Macaca mulatta: one gene and its partner. The protein of the gene in region 1 interacts with the protein of each later gene in a pairwise test. Links are inferred from orthologs where the notes say so. Each region holds a gene or a part of one and is shown on either strand. Other genes may lie near its edges.

Region 1 (4,412 bases):
CTTCGCTTTTAAACAAGCCTCAGGGAGGAAACCGGGAGCCCGGGCCAAGGGAGGAAAATGGCCACTTTCTGCTAAACAGTCTCAAGGCTAGATAGTATTCCAAAAAAAGCCCTGGTCCGGAGGTGCAAAGGGTAGGGCACATCTGCGGAGGAAACAGTCACCTTAATTACCACGTCTAGAGAAAGTGCGATTTCATTACAGCCTCCAAAACTACCGCCCAAAGAAGGAAACCAGAGAAGTGTTTTCAATCTGAGAGAGGCTGGAAAGAAGAGGGTGAGAGAGACTGACTCTCTCCACCCTCCCGCAACTTTGGACCACAAGGCGCTTTCCTGCCTCAAAGACTATTACCAAACACAACTGGACAATCCAACCCCCCGCTTTCAAACCTGTAGCCGTTACTTAAATGGTAAAACGCCCCACTTTAGTTTCCGGGGGATGCGTCCCAAATCAGTCCTTAAAAACACACAGGGAGCGCCTCTGGCAGCAGTCGCCCACGCCCCCGGCCCAGCGCACCGGGCTCGCTCCGGGAGGGGCGCGTGACGCCACCGAGGGGCGGCCGAGAGGGGACCGCGGGCTCCGGGCAGGGCAGGCGCTCTCGCAGCTCCAGCTATAACACAAGGGAGAGAAAGCAACGCTTTGGTTCCAGAAACTTCCATCGTCAAGGCCAGTTCTGGCCAGACGCACAGCCAAAGAGCCTCCCCTAGTCTAGCGGATGAACCGTTCGCGAATGCCACCCCCTAAAACCTTGGACCCATCTCCCAAGATGCCTCTTTTCTGCGCAATCCAGAAAGCACCCCGACCGCCGCCACCCACTAGCGGCGGCGAACAACTAACTTAGTGAGATCTTCGATAACTCGGGATCCAAGGGAACTTTCTTTTCTCAACGCCGCATCTCCATGTCTCCAGAAATGTTAAGGAGGGAGGTGGTCAAGACGAGTTGAAGAATCCGAGTTTCAATTTGGGGGAGGGGGAGGGGAGGAAGAGGGAAGTTAATAACGCGGCTGCGGTGTACCCGTGTGGGGTGAAACGGAACCAGATGCGGCTGTTACATCTGGAAAATGGGGGTGGGGGAGGGCTGGGGGAGAAAGACATCGTGGTAATGTTTTTCAAACGGGTTGATAGCTTCTGGGACCAGAACAAGAAACACGCTTCACACCCCCCGCCCCACCACCACCAAAAAAGTGTCTGGCTGCTTCATAGGGGGCGTGTGTTCTATATGAACCCCATCTACAAGGTCCACAAATTCCTCTGCAAACATGGGTCGTAGCCTCCCTTTTCTCCCAACCCTAAACATAACGGGAGGGGAAGCGGGGTGCAGAGGGGTCTGGGCCAGAGAAGCCTACGCATCGCTGCCGAGTGAACCGCACCGGACAAAAACCTCATCCCTTCCCCCACCTCCAGGAACGAGATTGGGACGGAACGGCCCTCCCGCCCCCGTCCCATACCTCGGCTTAACGACTGTGGGTCGTCCTCCCGTTCCCCAAACTTCCGACCCTCTCAGAGACCGTCCAAGTCATAAGATCACCCCTTCTGGAAAGCGGAGTCGTTTTTCGCTCTCAGCTCAAGCAGATTCAGCCATTTGGTGACGACACCTCCTTAAAGCCTATTCCAAGAGAAGCTAACCTAGCCCTCCACGTCCTCTGCAGTTCATCCCCTACTCCATTCGCCCACAACCCGGACCCCAGGTTTAGCGGGGATGGAAAAGGACTGAGGAATGTCCTGGATTTTTAGCGTTGAGCCCAAAGCTACCTGCTGAATTGGGGGTGAATCCCCAAAAGGGGACCAAAAAGAGATGGAGTGGAATGCAACACACACACAACACACACACAACGCACCCCACCTCGCCGCCCACTCCCGCCCTCCTCCCCAGTCCAGGAAACCGCGGGCCTCGCCGCTTTCGCCCCGGGCCTGTCCTTCCCAGGACTCACCGAGGAGCCGCCGCCGCCTCGCCAGCTCCCGAGCGCGAGTTGGCGGAAAAGTTGGGCAGCGGGAAGAGCGGCGGGACGAGCGTAGGGAGGGGGCGCAGAAGGAGACGCGGGCGGAGGGAAGGGAGGAGAGACCCAAGGGGGGCGCGGATCGCCCGGGAGGGAGCCGGGAGGTGGAGGGGGCGGGCGGCGAGCGGAGGGAGGCGCCGGTCCCGGCTGGGCTGCGGCGGGCAAAGCGCGCAGCCGGGAGGCTCCGGCGCCGGGGGCCGCTCGGGACGCCAAGCCAGCCCCGGATCCGGGGGCGCCGCGACTCTTACCTCGCTCGGCGTGGAGGTTCCGCCTCGGGAAAGTCCGCCGTGGCTTGCGCGAGCGGGCGTGTGCCCGCGTCCCCGGCTCCGGCCCGCCGCCCCCGGGCTCTTTTCGGGTCCTGGCGGGGTCGCGAGAGCTCCGCGGCCGGCGCTCGACTCCCGGCGGCGCTCGGTGCTCGGCGCCTCCAGCCCGGGCGGGAACAATGGAGCCGGAGCTGATGCCCCGGAGGCGGGGCGGGGGGAGGGCTCCCGTCCGCCGCCCGGGGTCTCCAGACCTTGTGCCCCTCTTTTCCAGACCGCGGCGGCGGCGTCTCACGCTCCTTGCAGACCGGGCTCCATCGTTCCGCGGAGGCCCCGGCGCCGCGGCGTGCCCGACTGCAGCACGGGTACCGTGCGCCCTGTGGGGCGCCCCGAGCTCGGACGGGAGAAAGTCCTCGGGTTCCGCGGCTTTTCGAGCAGCTGCGCGCTCGCGGCCGGGGAAGGCGAGGTCGCCGCAATGCGCTACGCGGAGTCTCGGTCCCGTCCGGACGTGGCCCTGCTGCCGGCACAGCCCGGGTTCCTCCGCGCGCTACGGCTGCACCAGCGTCCCGGCTCCCGCTCACTGCCGCCCGCCGCCGAGGACGCCGCGCCTGTGGCCGAAGGAGCGCTCCGAGCGCTGTGCGCCGGCGAGGCGCGAGGGCTCGCCCTCTCACTCCCACCGGCGCTGGTCCCTCCTCCGCCTCCGCCCCCTGCCGCTGCCTGCTGGGCCTTGTAGTTCTCCAGCCGCGGCCCCAGAGGAGGGGGAGCCGGCCGAGCGGGCCGAGCTGTCCGGCGCTCTGCCCTTCTCTTCCTGCAGCCTGGTCTCCTTTGGCGCTTGCGCCCCTGCATCTGAGCGCGTCCCAGAGGGCGCCGGAATGTCAGGCCCTAGACATAGCTGCAGTTTGGGGGGGTGTGGGGGACAGGTGAAGAGACGCCGCAGCCTTGAGATTGTACCTGGTAGCGTGGACTTTGGAGTCTGTGCACCTTGGGGAATGATTTTCGCGTTCTAAATCTCGGTTTTCCCATCTGTGAAAGGGGGATAATAGTGCTTTTTCGTATAGAGTCGAGAGGTCAACGAGGGCCTGGCGCATAGTTAACACCTAGTAAATACAAGCTGGTTTTATTATGAGAAGGTCAGCCCCTCCTCACACCCTTCCATTGGATCTCCGCTTTCCCCAGCCACATAATTTAGGTTTTGTGCTCCACCGGGAACTGGACCCTGTAAATTCTACAGCAATGTTGTTGGTCTTCAGAAGTCTCCAGCCTGAAGTGAACGTCTAGGAAGCAAAGAGTAAGTGGGAGTTGAGGGGAGAGGTGTGGTTGGTTTGGAAATTAATCACAGCCCACTCAGAACACCCTCCAGTACTGTGGAACTCAGGAAAGTGGCTAAATTCTTCCCCCTGAGTCTTGCCGCGGGGTGGTATAATGTAGTGGTTTCCTAATCCAGATGGACACGGGTCCTCCAGGGAACGTCTGAAAAATACAAATTCATGGGCCTGCTCAGACATGAGGAATCAGGCTGTCCCAAGAAGGAGCCAAAAGCCTGTATTTTTTCCAAGTCTCCGTGGGGCCTGTGATGTGAAAGCCCAGGCTGAGGCCACCGTTGGGGTGGGAAGTAGGCAGCACTAGGTCTGAAGGATTCCTCCATTCTGTCCATCATTTGTGAAGTTTGATGTACGACAAATCTTGTATCTGATAAAATCAAAACAGCAGTATCTGTTGATACTCCTTCACAAGATGATCGTAAGAATCAAATAAAATGATAGCTCTCCGTGGACCAAAAATACTACACAAATAGAAGTCACTATGTAAGTTAGTGGCAGGGCCTGTTCACCTCATCCCCAAAACTTGTAGAAGTTTGAATACTGAATGAGTTACCCCCACCCAACTCCTCACCCACCCCACCCACGCCTCCCTGGCTAATTTAAGAAAAGAGTTGGGGGAGGGGGGCGGTGGCTCACACCTGTAATTGCAGCACTTTGGGAAGCTGAGGCAGGTGGATCACGAGGTCAGGAGATCAAGACTATCCTTGCCAACAAGGTGAAACCCCGCCTCTACTAAAATACAAAGAAATTAGCCAGGCATGGTGGCGCTCGCCTGTAATCCCAGCTACTGGGGAGGCTGAGGCAGGGGAATCGCTTGAACCCGGGAGGCGGAGGTT
Region 2 (3,648 bases), on another chromosome or scaffold:
CTATGACAAACCCACAGCCAACATTATACTGAATGGGGAAATGCTGAAAGCATTCCCCCTGACAACTGGAACAAGAAATGGATGCTCACTCTCACCAATTCTATTCAACATGGTACTGGAAGTCCTAGCCAGAGCAATCAGACAAGAAAAAGAAATAAAGGGCATCTAAACTGGTAAAGAAGAAGTCAAACTGTCATTGTTTACAGATTATATGATTGTATACCTAGAAAACCCTAAAGACTCCCCCAAAAACTTCTAGAACTGATAAATGAATTAAGCAAAGCTTCAGGATACAAAATTAATGTGCACAAATCAATAGCTCTGTTATATACCAACAGTGACCAAGCTGAGAATCAAATCAAGAACTCAACCCCTTTTGCAATAGCTGTAAAAAATAAAATAAATACTTAAGGATATACCTAACCAAGAAGGTGAAAGAACTCTACAAGGAAAACTACAAAACATTGCTGAAAGAAGTTATAGATGACACAAACAAATGGAAACACATCCCATGCTCATGGATGTATAGAATCAATATTTTGAAAATGACCATACTGCCAAAAGCAATCTGTAAATTCAATGCAATTGTTATCAAAATACCATCATCATTCTTGACAGAACTAGAAAAAAAAAATCCTAAAATTTACATGGAACCAAAAAAGAGCCTGCAAAGCCAAAACAAGACGAAGCAAAAAGAGCAAACCTGGAAGCATCACATTATCTGACTTCAGACTATACTACAAGGCCATAGTCACTGAAACAGCAAGGTACTGGTACAAAAATAGGCACATAGACGAATGGAACAGGATAGATAACACAGAAATAAAGCCAGATACTTACAAACAAAAAAAAAGTGGGAAAAATGACACTCTAGTCAACAAATGGTGCTGGGATAATTGGCAAGTCACATGTAGAAGAATGAATGTGGATCCTTATCTCTGTCCTTATACAAAAATCAACTCAAGATGGATCAAAGACTTAAATCTAAGACCTGAAACCACAAAAGTTTCTAGAAGATAACATCAGGAAAACCCTTCTAGATATTGGCTTAGGGAAAGACTTCCTGACTAAGAACCCAAAATCAAATGAAACAAAAACAAAGATAAATAGATAGGATTTAATCAAACGAAAAGCTTCTGCACAGCAAAAGAAACACTCAACAGAGTAAACAGACAACTCACAGAGCAGGAGAAAATATTTGCAATTTCTAAATCTAACAAAGGACAAATATCCAGAATCTACAAGGAACTCAAACAAATCAGCAAGAAAAAGCAATCCCATCAAAAAGTAGGCTAGGGACATCAATAAAAACTCTCAAAAGAAGATATATAGATGGTCAACAAACATATGAAAAAAATACTCAACATCACTAATGATCAAGGGAATGCAAATCAAAATCACAATGTGATGCCACCTTACTTCTGCAAGAATGGCCATAACCAAAAAAAAAAACAAATAACAGTAGATGTTGGTGTGGATGTGGTAAAAAGGGAATGCTTTCATGCTGTTGGTGGGAATGTAAACTAGTACAACCACTTTGGAAAACAGTGTGGAGATTCCTTAAAGAACTAACAGTAGAACTACCTTTTGATCCAGCAATCCCACTACCGGGTATCTTCCCAGAGGAAGTCATTATATGAAAAAGATACTTGCACATGCATGTTTATAGCAGCACAATTCACAATTGCAAAAATATGGAACCAGCTCAAATCCCCATCAATCAACGAGTGGATAAAGAAATTGTGAGATAGATAGATAGATAGATAGATAGATAGATAGATAGATAGATAGATAGACAGACCATGGAACCATAAAAAGGAATGAAATAATGGCATTCCTAGCTGCCTGGATGGAACTGCAGACCATTATTCCACGTGAAGTAACTCAGGAATGTAAAACCAAAAATCGTATGTTCTCACCCATAAGTGGGAGCTAAGCTATGAGAATGCAAAGGAATAAGAATGATACAATGGACTTTGGGGACTCGGGGAAAAGGTGGGATGGGGGTGAAGGATAAAAGACTATACAATGAGTAGTGTACTCTGCCTGTTGATGGGTGCAACAAACTCTCAGAAATCACCACTAAAGAACTTACTCATGTAATCAAACACTTCCTGTTCCTTACAAACCTCTTGAAATAAATCCATCAATCAATAATAAAAGAGCAATAAATTACTCAGATGAAACATTTTATTAACTGTTCTATTATTAACTGTTCTGTTCTGTTGATGTTGATCAACAGAGTTTCAGAAGTAGAAAAGATCAGCAGTATGACCTGGGGTAAAAAGAAAAGATATACACTACATCAGGCTTCAAACTCTGCAGCCAAGGATGAGGAGAAAGGAGTGAATTCAGAGTGAGCACAAAGGAGTAACATATGTTTTACTGAAATAAGAGTATCCAGATTCCATCAAAGATAGTACATTGAAACCAGTGTGAAGTAAAACTGAGTAGTGTTTAAATAATCAAGGCAAATGTTTTAAATAAAAAAAATCAAAGACCAACCTTTAACATCAAGTAATAAAATAATAAATACAACAAAGTAAATATGTTTTAACTTGCAGCTTAATATGTCATTCATAACACATCACGGATACTTCAATTTACCTTTGATGTCCCTTTAGTAGAAAAATATAAACCAGATCTTCTTAGAAAAAAGTAAATTTTTTTCCAAGACTTCTTTCCCTGTTCTTTCGCATGTAAGAAACCATGAATTTCAGGGTATGTGCTTGAACTCAGAAACATCTGAAAGAAAATTTACATATTTTCAAAGTATGATTAAATCAATGATATGGTAACCTTATACTAATCATATTAAGATTTCAAATATAAACATGTAAAAATCACACAGGATCATAACATGTAACATTACGGTAATTAACTATGTGTGTGTGTTTTGATAGTCCTTGGTGTCTCTCTCTCTCCTTCTCTCTCTCTCTCTCTCTCTTTCTATCTCTGTGTGTGTATACACACACACATACACACACAGAAAATAAATCAGAGTCTTTTAAAAACCTGAGATGTTTCAAATGAAAATGAGTTCACAAAATAGACATTCTAAGTGATAGTATGTAGTTATCTAACTACCAAAATTATCAGCTAATTGAATGTCCATTCAAAAAGTTGGACGTCATCTACAGCGTTAAGTCCTGATATACTTTTCATTGTTTTCTGTGGTTTTCCCTGAGATTACAGGTTGACCTATTAACTTCATTATGTTATAAGTAAGACCACAATCCTGACTTCAATTGGGAAGCAGGAAGTTGAGCCAAGCTCACCTCCTTGAGGAGGATAAAGCAAATAAAACTATCTCTTCTTTGTCATCTATGGTTCTCAGCTGTGGGTGAATGTGGTAGGTCACGTTTTCCAAAGAGGACTGCAACAATGTCTTCCATTCCACATGCTCTTCTGCAATGTCATCTTGTCACTGAATCACAAAAAGGTGGAGTCTTTCTCCACTCTCTTGAATGTGAGCAAGCCTGTCATTGCTTTGACCCATACAATATGTGGAAGGGACCCTTTGCCAGTTCTAGGTGTAGTCCTTAACTAGCCTGGTGCTTTTCATGACTTGGCCCTTGGAATCCAGCTGTCACATAAGAAATGTGACTACCCTGAGACCATCACAGGTAAGAAGCCCAATGCAACTGG

What was found.
Region 2: the proteins of FGFR1 (region 1) and GRB14 interact in a two-hybrid assay, tested with the Homo sapiens proteins (2 studies listed by BioGRID, with this or other methods). The link is inferred for Macaca mulatta from reciprocal best matches to the Homo sapiens genes FGFR1 and GRB14.

What each region holds. Positions count from the first base shown.
Region 1 is NC_133413.1:40,411,168-40,415,579, forward strand, and holds the start of FGFR1 (fibroblast growth factor receptor 1 precursor), read right to left. Parts: upstream 2,863-4,412; 5' UTR 2,243-2,862; exon of another isoform or gene 1,446-2,242; intron 961-1,445; exon of another isoform or gene 835-960; intron 1-834. UniProt on the Homo sapiens protein: Tyrosine-protein kinase that acts as a cell-surface receptor for fibroblast growth factors and plays an essential role in the regulation of embryonic development, cell proliferation, differentiation and migration.
Region 2 is NC_133417.1:69,443,835-69,447,482, forward strand, and holds part of GRB14 (growth factor receptor-bound protein 14), read right to left. Parts: intron 2,746-3,648; coding exon 2,608-2,745; intron 1-2,607. UniProt on the Homo sapiens protein: Adapter protein which modulates coupling of cell surface receptor kinases with specific signaling pathways. Binds to, and suppresses signals from, the activated insulin receptor (INSR). Potent inhibitor of insulin-stimulated MAPK3 phosphorylation.